2 linked regions of the Rattus norvegicus genome follow. The protein of the gene in region 1 purifies or fractionates together with the protein of each later gene. This does not show direct contact. Links are inferred from orthologs where the notes say so. Each region holds a gene or a part of one and is shown in the gene's direction. Other genes may lie near its edges. The genes, in order: Rab3gap2 and Vapb.

Region 1 (3,811 bases):
GTTTTCAGTAAATGAAATGTTTACGGAGTCTCCCATCCCTGGACCTGAGTCTGTCCTTCTCCCATCTCACCCACTCCTGGACACTTGAGCGCTGCTCATGTTTCAAAGTCTGAGTCTCCCTCCAAGAAACCGTTCCTGACTAGTGTTTTCTTTCCCCTCCTGATCTCCAGAGAGCTAATAACTTCATCCCTTCTTCCTCATTCTGTGTTTTTAAATGTTCCTGAAGTATGTTTTATGTTTCATTGCCTCATAGTTGCCATACACTTGAGACTTAGAGTGGCATTTTAATTTGTACATCATTAGCTCAGATCTGTTACAAGGCGCTTGTTCTGTGTCAGGGGCACCAAGAGTCCTCTGCGCTGTCTTTTTTGAATGTACAGTTAGTTGTGTAGATTCTCTTCTGTGCAGTAGACCAGATGCACCCTGGTGCCTATACTCTTCCCAGCCTCTGTTCATGGCTCTCCCACAGCTACCCCTGTGAGAGCAGCTGTGTACTTCTCACAGTTTCCTTCCCTGGTACGTGGCTTTCTGTGGGCGCGGCGTTCTGGTTCGAGGGGTTAGCGCCTTTGTTTTCAGCTTCCCTGCGCGTCCCTAGGAGGCACTGGGTACCAGAATATTTATACAAGTGCTTACAGCTTTTTAAGAGGGGTGTGTGTGTGTGTGTGTGTGTGTGTGTGTGTGTGTGTGTGTGTGTTCGTACAGGTACACTGATTTTGTACACATACATGAAGTGGGTGTCACGTGTCCTTAGTCAATCTCCTTCTGTTCCTTTGAGGCAGAGTCTCTTTCCAAGCCTAGGATTCAAACTTTCTAGGCTAGGTTGGAAGACAGCAAGACCAAGGGATCCTTCTGTCTCTGTCGTCTCAGAAATGGGCTTACAAGGGTGTCTAGCACGCCTAGCTTGTTACAAGGGAAACGAGCTTTGTATCCCAGGCCTCATGGTTGGGTAGTACCAACTCTCAGACACTGAGCATTTGTCCAGCCTTGTGTTTATAGATTTTTACTTAACTTGTTTTCTCATTATTTATAAGTTTGTAACAATTTTTTTCAATTGTAAGTTTACTGTAACCCTGTTGTTTGTCCCCTAAAGAAGGTTGGGGTACACTTTTTTACTATTAACCCAAAAAGTATAGTCAGGGGCATAGTTATAGAGGAACAGGTACAAAGTCATTTAGAAGCCAGACGTGAAATCTGACTTCCCAGCACCCTGCTGGGGTCGTTTTTCACAGACGAGGGTGTTTACCATGAGGCATCCCTTTTCTGGGAAACTCCATTTGAACGGAAGTAAGAGATAAGCCAGGCATGGTGGCACACATTAGTCTCAACTGTTCTAGAAGCAGATGGGGGGTGAACGTTTGAGTTCAAGTGAGTCGTAGTGGGTAGCATAGCAATGCTAAATTCCTGCCTCTACCTCCACCCCAAAAGATAAGAGCGAGGGTTGGGGTGGGGGCTAGTGTCTGTTATTTTTAAGTATATAGTTTTGTTCAGTAATGAACAGAATTTTTCAGATGTCTTGAATATTTTCAGCTCATATAAATGTTTGTATCCTCTTGATGAGTAAAACATAAATTATGACTAAATTTTACTCATATTTTATAACAGGGGAAGTTAGTTGTATATTAGATGTAATATGGGCTGGGTAAGTGTGCTTGCTGCCAAGCATGAGGTCCTGAGTTGAGATCTTTGAACCACAGAAAAGCTAAGTGTGGCTGTGCACTCTACCCACAGCTGTGGGAGATATGGCGGCCTGGAGCGCTGCCATCTGCACTCCAGGTGCAGGGAGACCCTGTCAGTGAGTCAGGCAGGGCTACAAAGCAGGACACCCGGCATCCTCCTCTGACGCATGCATTGTTTTAAATGAAAATAAACTAACATGAGGTGGGCATTAGTTCCAGGGGCAGAGCGATTGTCTGCTTGCACAGTCGTAGGCTGCATTGCCAGCACCTCGAGCTGCGTGTGGCAGCTCACACTTCCTCCCTCACTCCAGAGGTGGAAGCAGCAGCAACAGCACAGATTCAAGGTCACTCACCCTCAGTTTGGTGATTTGTTTGAGGCCAGCCTGACGCCAGACCCCTTTTCAAACAAACCACGAGAGGAACCTTTAAACAGTCGTGTTTCCTCCATCTGTGTCTGTAAAGGGTATTTTGAATTTATGGACCTGGCAAGTGTGTAGCATATAGGATTGATACACGTCCGTGTATGTTACATTGAGATTGTCTCCATGAGGAAGTGCGCCCCAGATTCCAGCCTCTTGCTTGCCCTCCAAGTTAGATGATAGGTATTAATGTGCTTTAAACCTCATGGCTTTGGCATCACCAGATTCAGGTTCAGAAGTGAATGTGCTGTGTATCTGCGTCCCCCACTCTGTGTTTGTCTCCATTTAGCACATTGCTGCTCAGATTTTACCAGGTTTCCTTTTCTTTCTTGTCTCGAACCTGTAGGTGGTATTGCAGACAGCGTGGCCAAGTGGATATTTAAACAGGACCTCAGCCCTGAATTGTTGAAATGTGCCAACAGAGAAAAAGACGTAGAGAATCCAGACGAGCCCAGAGAAGGTATTGCCCGAAGTCCCCCTGAGGTGTCAGAGGTGGAGACAGACCTAGGAGCCGTACCAGGTGACACCCGAATGATGAGCACTGTGGCATCCAGGGTGGAGTGACATTCTTGTGACCAAAAGGATGCTGTTCCCTCTTGTGTCTTCCAGACTTGCTCCGCCTAGCCTACGAGCAGTTCCCTTGTAGCCTTGAGCTTGACGTGCTGCATGCGCACTGCTGCTGGGAATATGTGGTTCAGTGGAACAAAGACCCAGAGGTAAAAGTCTGCATCTGCTGACTATGTCTGCACATGTGTGCACAGGGCAGGCTTGTCCTGGAGCCCACTGCTGTGTGTGTGTGTGTGGGGGGCGTGCGTGCATGTGTGTGTGCGTGCGTGTGTGTGTGTGTGTGCGTGTGTGTGCGTCTACTCAGTTTTGAACCTATTGATGGCTTCATGTTTGCTAGGCAAGGACTCCCAACACTGAACAACATGTTCCCCAGCCCTTTCACATTTACTTCCTGGAGACAGGACCTAGTTAAGTTGCCCTTGCTGGCCTTCCTGAGCCTTAAGCAGTGTGAAGCCAGTGTAATTAGTACAGTGGCCAGCTGTGTCATTAAGTGTTGCTTTCTTACACCCAGGTTGATAATTTATTCAGATTTCAGGAGTTATATTCTCATCCCAGCTCTGTGATTCCTTTCGCCCTTGAGACTGACTGTGATTAGCACTCTGCATGTGGGACTCAGAATGATAGGGGACAAGGACAGAATTCTCATTCTGGTATCATTTTCTTGTTAAGGTTTAACAAAGGCAAGTCTATTGTTCAGACCCCTCTGCTAGTCTATTCTAATATACAGTTGTTATAGTAAAGAGCCTTTATGAAGAGGGAGGAAGGATAGATTTTATACGAGGAGGCAGCCTGAGATAAGAACCTCAAAGAAAGAATTTGGATTCAAGGGGAGCCATTTCCAAGATCACTTACAAAGGAGCTTTAAGAAGGAGGTGGCCAGGGAATTGTCTACAGGATGTTCATTGTCTTGTCTCATCTTGGAGTCGAGCCTGAAGGATTGATGCCTTCCTTAAGTGAAGAAGGGGCAGGATAATAGGTTTTGTGACCAGTGGTAAGTCAGCCATTCAACGGGGGTCCAAAGCCCTAGGGTACTTCAGACCAGGGTGCCACAGGAAGATCATGATCCTAAGAGTGTGGGAAGTGAGACCTTCACCGACAGTCGAGACTCCAGCGAGATTAACCTTGGACATGAGTTAGCTATGTACATAG
Region 2 (4,349 bases), on another chromosome or scaffold:
CAAATTCAGAAAGCCCAGTCACAAGATTTCACAGTATGACAAACCAGACAGTGTGGCAAAACACAGAACGGAGACCGAGGGAAATGTGTTTCATTCAAAAGCACAAGGCATATAATTGAGGAGTGGGTGACGATGATGAACTGCAGCCCTTCAACTTCAAGACAGCAGAACACAAATGTCATAAAAGCTAGGCTTTCATAAAGCATTACACGCATTAAAAAGTTAAAGCACTGAAGCAGCAGTAACAGAACACACACGGAGAGAACAGATTGAGAGGAAAAACCAATCTTGAAGAGCAAGAAATGAGAGGCAAAGAAACAGTACATCCAATGGGAGAAACAACATAAGGTGGCAGAAATAAATCTGGGTACAACAGCAAATATAATAAGTATAAATGGACTAGATGCACAAGCTAAAAGACAGAGACTACCCCTTGAAAACTTTTACTGGGAAAACGAGCTCAGGTATATAGAACATGGGAAATTCATGAACAACATGGATATTCCTGCCATATAGAGCCATATTTACCCCATATACGAATGTCTGATGAGGATGCTATTAGGGTCTGTTTTACATAGTATATGTTTACACAATGAAATACTAGTCACACGCTAATAAGAGCATACAGGGCTTATTTTGGGCATTAGACTGAGCTAGGCTCCCAGACACTTTTAATGAGATTTATGTGTGTAACTAATTTATTCTCTCAGTGAGGTCCTAGCAAGGTCTGAAGCGGGTCGTTTTCTGGTTATTGTATTTCTGAATATTTCTTGCATAAACAAATAATGCTATCAGCAAACGGTTCGGTGTAGTGCTCTGTGGTTTGGTAAACACTGAATGCAGAGTAGCTTTTATTTATGACAGTTACTGAAAGCATTCAGCAGAGTGGCACGAAATAAGCAAACAGTAATTGCCAGTTTATTATATTTTATAATTGTTATTTATGAACTGTCACAAGGCCTGGCACATATCACTAACCCGTAAGTAAACATTGTGTTTGTAAGAATAATAAGTACTTTATTATATTCAGGCTCAGTAGAGCCTGGCACCACACGTGCGTGAAGAAAGTGGAAGTTTATTCTTGTTAATTATTATTATTAAGTAAAGCACTTAACAACAGTTTTCCCCACAGGCGCTTACTGAACAGTCTAGCTGGAGACCGCCCCCTCCTCCCAAGCCTCGAGAGACCACGCCCACTGCCACGGAGGCTCCGCCCTCAACCTCCCGGCTGCGCCTGCGCAGTGGCCCAGAAAACCGTGCGCATGCGCAGTCTTCATTTTGCCGCTGTAGCCTCTGGCCACTGCCGGAGCCCGGCAGCTGCTACGTGCGTGCGTACGTGCGTGCGTCGGGGCGTGCGTACATACGTGCGTGCGTGCCGTGAGCTCGCCCGGCACCGCGGCCTCGCCCTCCGCCCCTGTGCCCCGCCACCCAGGCCGCCGCCCCCCGCCCGCGCCGCCGCCCCCGACGGGGAGGACCATGGCGAAGGTGGAGCAGGTCCTGAGTCTCGAGCCACAGCACGAGCTCAAGTTCCGAGGTAAGCGGGCGGCCGACCCGGGAGCTGTCACTCAGCGGCCGGCTCCGGAAGGGACGCGCCCTGAGGGCAGGACACTGTCCGCCTGAGGCCGGCATGCACCAGGCGCCTAATGCATGCATGTGGAGTCAGTGCATGGAATCGGCCTGAGTACTCTTCTCCTCAGCTCCCCCGGGGCAGCGAGCTGTCGGGGGTCTACAGCCCACGAAGTCTGTGCATACTTTCTATGTAGTACACTTTTTGTATACATTTGTGTGTAAAGGTGAACTTTATACACGCAGGCGTGCACAGGTGACTAAAAAAGTGCATTTATACAGATGTGTATGCATGGCATATGCATGTTATAGATAGTGTGTATACATACATGTACTATATATGTGTATATACACACAGAAGTGTGTGTGTATGTGTGTATTCATATTTCTATTCACTAATTTTAAGGTCCAGAAAGCAACAGGGTCCGTGCCCAGCCTGTTCCTTGCTTCGTTGCATATTTTGAGTCATGAGACTGGGCACTGGAGGCCTATAAAGCTCAACAACCTAAGCAAGATGGCGGCAGGCGGCTGGAAGTACTGGGAAGGGAAGGATGAAGTTGGACTCAATGGAGGTGTGCTTCAGGTTGGCCAATGTGATCCTCTGTGTATTGCCTACATGTAGGCCACAGCTGGTGCTCACGGTTTTGGGTGGCTGAGAGTCACCCGTTTCTCTGCCGTTGGGAAGTAGCGTAGGATCACAGCTCTTACCTAGTCGTCGCCTTTGAGTCCTGATTTCGGACTTTCAAACACTTTTAGCCATCGTACCCACAAACTCTTGGGAAATGCTTCATAGCTGTGAATGTCCACCTTGCCTTCCAGGTTCAGAGTGTGCAAAGACACTTACAAGGAAGCAAAGGCCCTCCGGTTAACCTAGAAACACAAACCTCAGGCCGCCTGACCCTGGGCTGTAGAGATGGTTCACCATTTAAAAGCTCCTGCTGCCCAGGCTGAGGACTTTAGTTCAATCCCTGAGACTCACATGGTCAAAAGAGAGAACTGACTTCTGCATGTTGTCCTCTTACCCCCAGCAGGTGCAGCCTAGCAGGCTTGTGAACAAACACACAGACACGTACACAACAGATTTTAAATAAAAGCATCCGTTTAAATGTGGATCCTCCGCACCAGAGGTCCCCCCCTCCCCCACTTACCAGGAATCCCACTTGGTAGTGACAGGAAAGTGGTGTGCCTTTGGTAGCAACTGTTTGGGAATTTGAATTCTGATCCTTTTCCAGGTTATGGACCTGTGCATGACCGCACAGCCGTGAACCGCCGCCATCTGGTTATCACTGTACCTCTGCATAATTGTTTTGTGTTTGCATCCCCTCATGTCTACAGAGTGTCCATCTCTGTGGTGGGGGGTGCACATGCACGGAAGCTCTTCGGCGTGTGTTTTTATTTATTGTGTGTTTATGTATCGTGTGTGTGAGGGGTATGTGTGTCACAGTGAGTGTGTGGAGGTCAGAAGACAATTCGCAGGCGTCTGGCATAGCAGTGCTTTTGTCTGCCGACTGTCGCACTGGCCTTCTCTTTGAGATCTGTAGTTCTCACCGTCTGAGGTCCACTCAGGCTGACATGATCCTTCTGTCTCTGCTTCCCCGTTGCTGGTATTGCTGGTTTAACACATCTTTGGATAGCCTGTTGGGATCAGATGGACTTTGTGCTATAGGGTTCTGTGGGCCTGTAGGCTGATGTAAGTCTGGAGCATGTTGAGATCAGTGGTGATGTTCAGAAAAGTCAAGTAGGTTGAATCCACTTTTACGTAGACATATTTTCAATTTAGGGAGGGGCTGTCATGTCAGTTGGTTTTCTCGGCTGCTGTTCTCCGACACCCACCTTTCCTTTGCATCCAGGGAAAAAGGGGGCAGATGAGGTGACCCAGACTAGAGAGTGTGGGGAAACAACTTCCCAGGGAATGGGAGGTGACAGAGTATCATTGAATCTGGTTACAAAGGTCCAGTGGCAGAAAGGGGGAAGTGGGTGGGAGTGTCCGGGCCTGGCCAGTACTGTGCATGGAGGTCTATAAGCCGGAGTACTTGCTTCTTGGAGATGCTGTGGTTAGGAGTTGCGGGTCAGAGTAGAGGGCCAGACTGGCTAGTACACAGTGTCAGGTCTACACACCCACTGGGTGTAATGACTTGACTGATCTTGATACCCCAAGCCCCCATACACTACTGCCTCTGAAGGAGGAGAGTGTTCCAGCTCTTCCAATTCAGTGTGTGTGACCTAGGGTGCCATTTGCCCTCTTACCTTTGGGTCGGTGGTGGTGCTAAGAAGGTGACACTTCTCCAGCCAACATCACTGGTTGCCAAGGAGATAGTCCAGGGGTTTAGTGTCCGAATGTCTTCACTCTGGAAGAGTCGTCCAGGGATGTGTGGAAACTTGATGGGGGTTGGGGGGTGTTTCTTGTGAGTGCCAGCCATGTATTAGTGTGGAGCCTTTGCCTTGCAGATGAAGTCTCACTAAGCTTTCAGGCCAGTATGGAGCGAGTGGTTTTCCTGCCATAACTCCCTGGTGCTGGGATTGTATGTGGCACCACCAATCCCAACTGGGGTGTTCAGTTTCTTGGTTTGTTTGCTTTAAGCTGAGTGCTGAGGTGGTAAAATGAGAGGCCCAGTAAATTGGCTCTTTGTGTTAAGGGAATTCATTTGAGGGTGAGAACCTTCAGATTTAACTGGGCTCCTTCATGTTATCCAGAATGATGACTCTGATTTCTGAGGTTCGTCTAAATGAATGACATTTACAAGCTAATCAAAGTACTTGTCACCCAGAGACTCATGGGTCTT

What was found.
Region 2: the proteins of Rab3gap2 (region 1) and Vapb purify together in Homo sapiens (affinity purification with mass spectrometry; 4 studies listed by BioGRID and IntAct, counting the BioPlex papers as one, with this or other methods). This does not show direct contact. The link is inferred for Rattus norvegicus from reciprocal best matches to the Homo sapiens genes RAB3GAP2 and VAPB.

The regions. Positions count from the first base shown.
Region 1 is NC_086031.1:99,344,430-99,348,240, forward strand, and holds part of Rab3gap2 (rab3 GTPase-activating protein non-catalytic subunit), read left to right. Parts: intron 1-2,441; coding exon 2,442-2,615; intron 2,616-2,704; coding exon 2,705-2,811; intron 2,812-3,811. UniProt on the Homo sapiens protein: Regulatory subunit of the Rab3 GTPase-activating (Rab3GAP) complex composed of RAB3GAP1 and RAB3GAP2, which has GTPase-activating protein (GAP) activity towards various Rab3 subfamily members (RAB3A, RAB3B, RAB3C and RAB3D), RAB5A and RAB43, and guanine nucleotide exchange factor (GEF) activity towards RAB18.
Region 2 is NC_086021.1:182,952,887-182,957,235, forward strand, and holds the start of Vapb (vesicle-associated membrane protein-associated protein B), read left to right. Parts: upstream 1-1,360; 5' UTR 1,361-1,476; coding exon 1,477-1,534; intron 1,535-1,997; exon of another isoform or gene 1,998-2,080; coding exon of another isoform or gene 2,081-2,138; intron 2,139-4,349. UniProt on the Homo sapiens protein: Endoplasmic reticulum (ER)-anchored protein that mediates the formation of contact sites between the ER and endosomes via interaction with FFAT motif-containing proteins such as STARD3 or WDR44.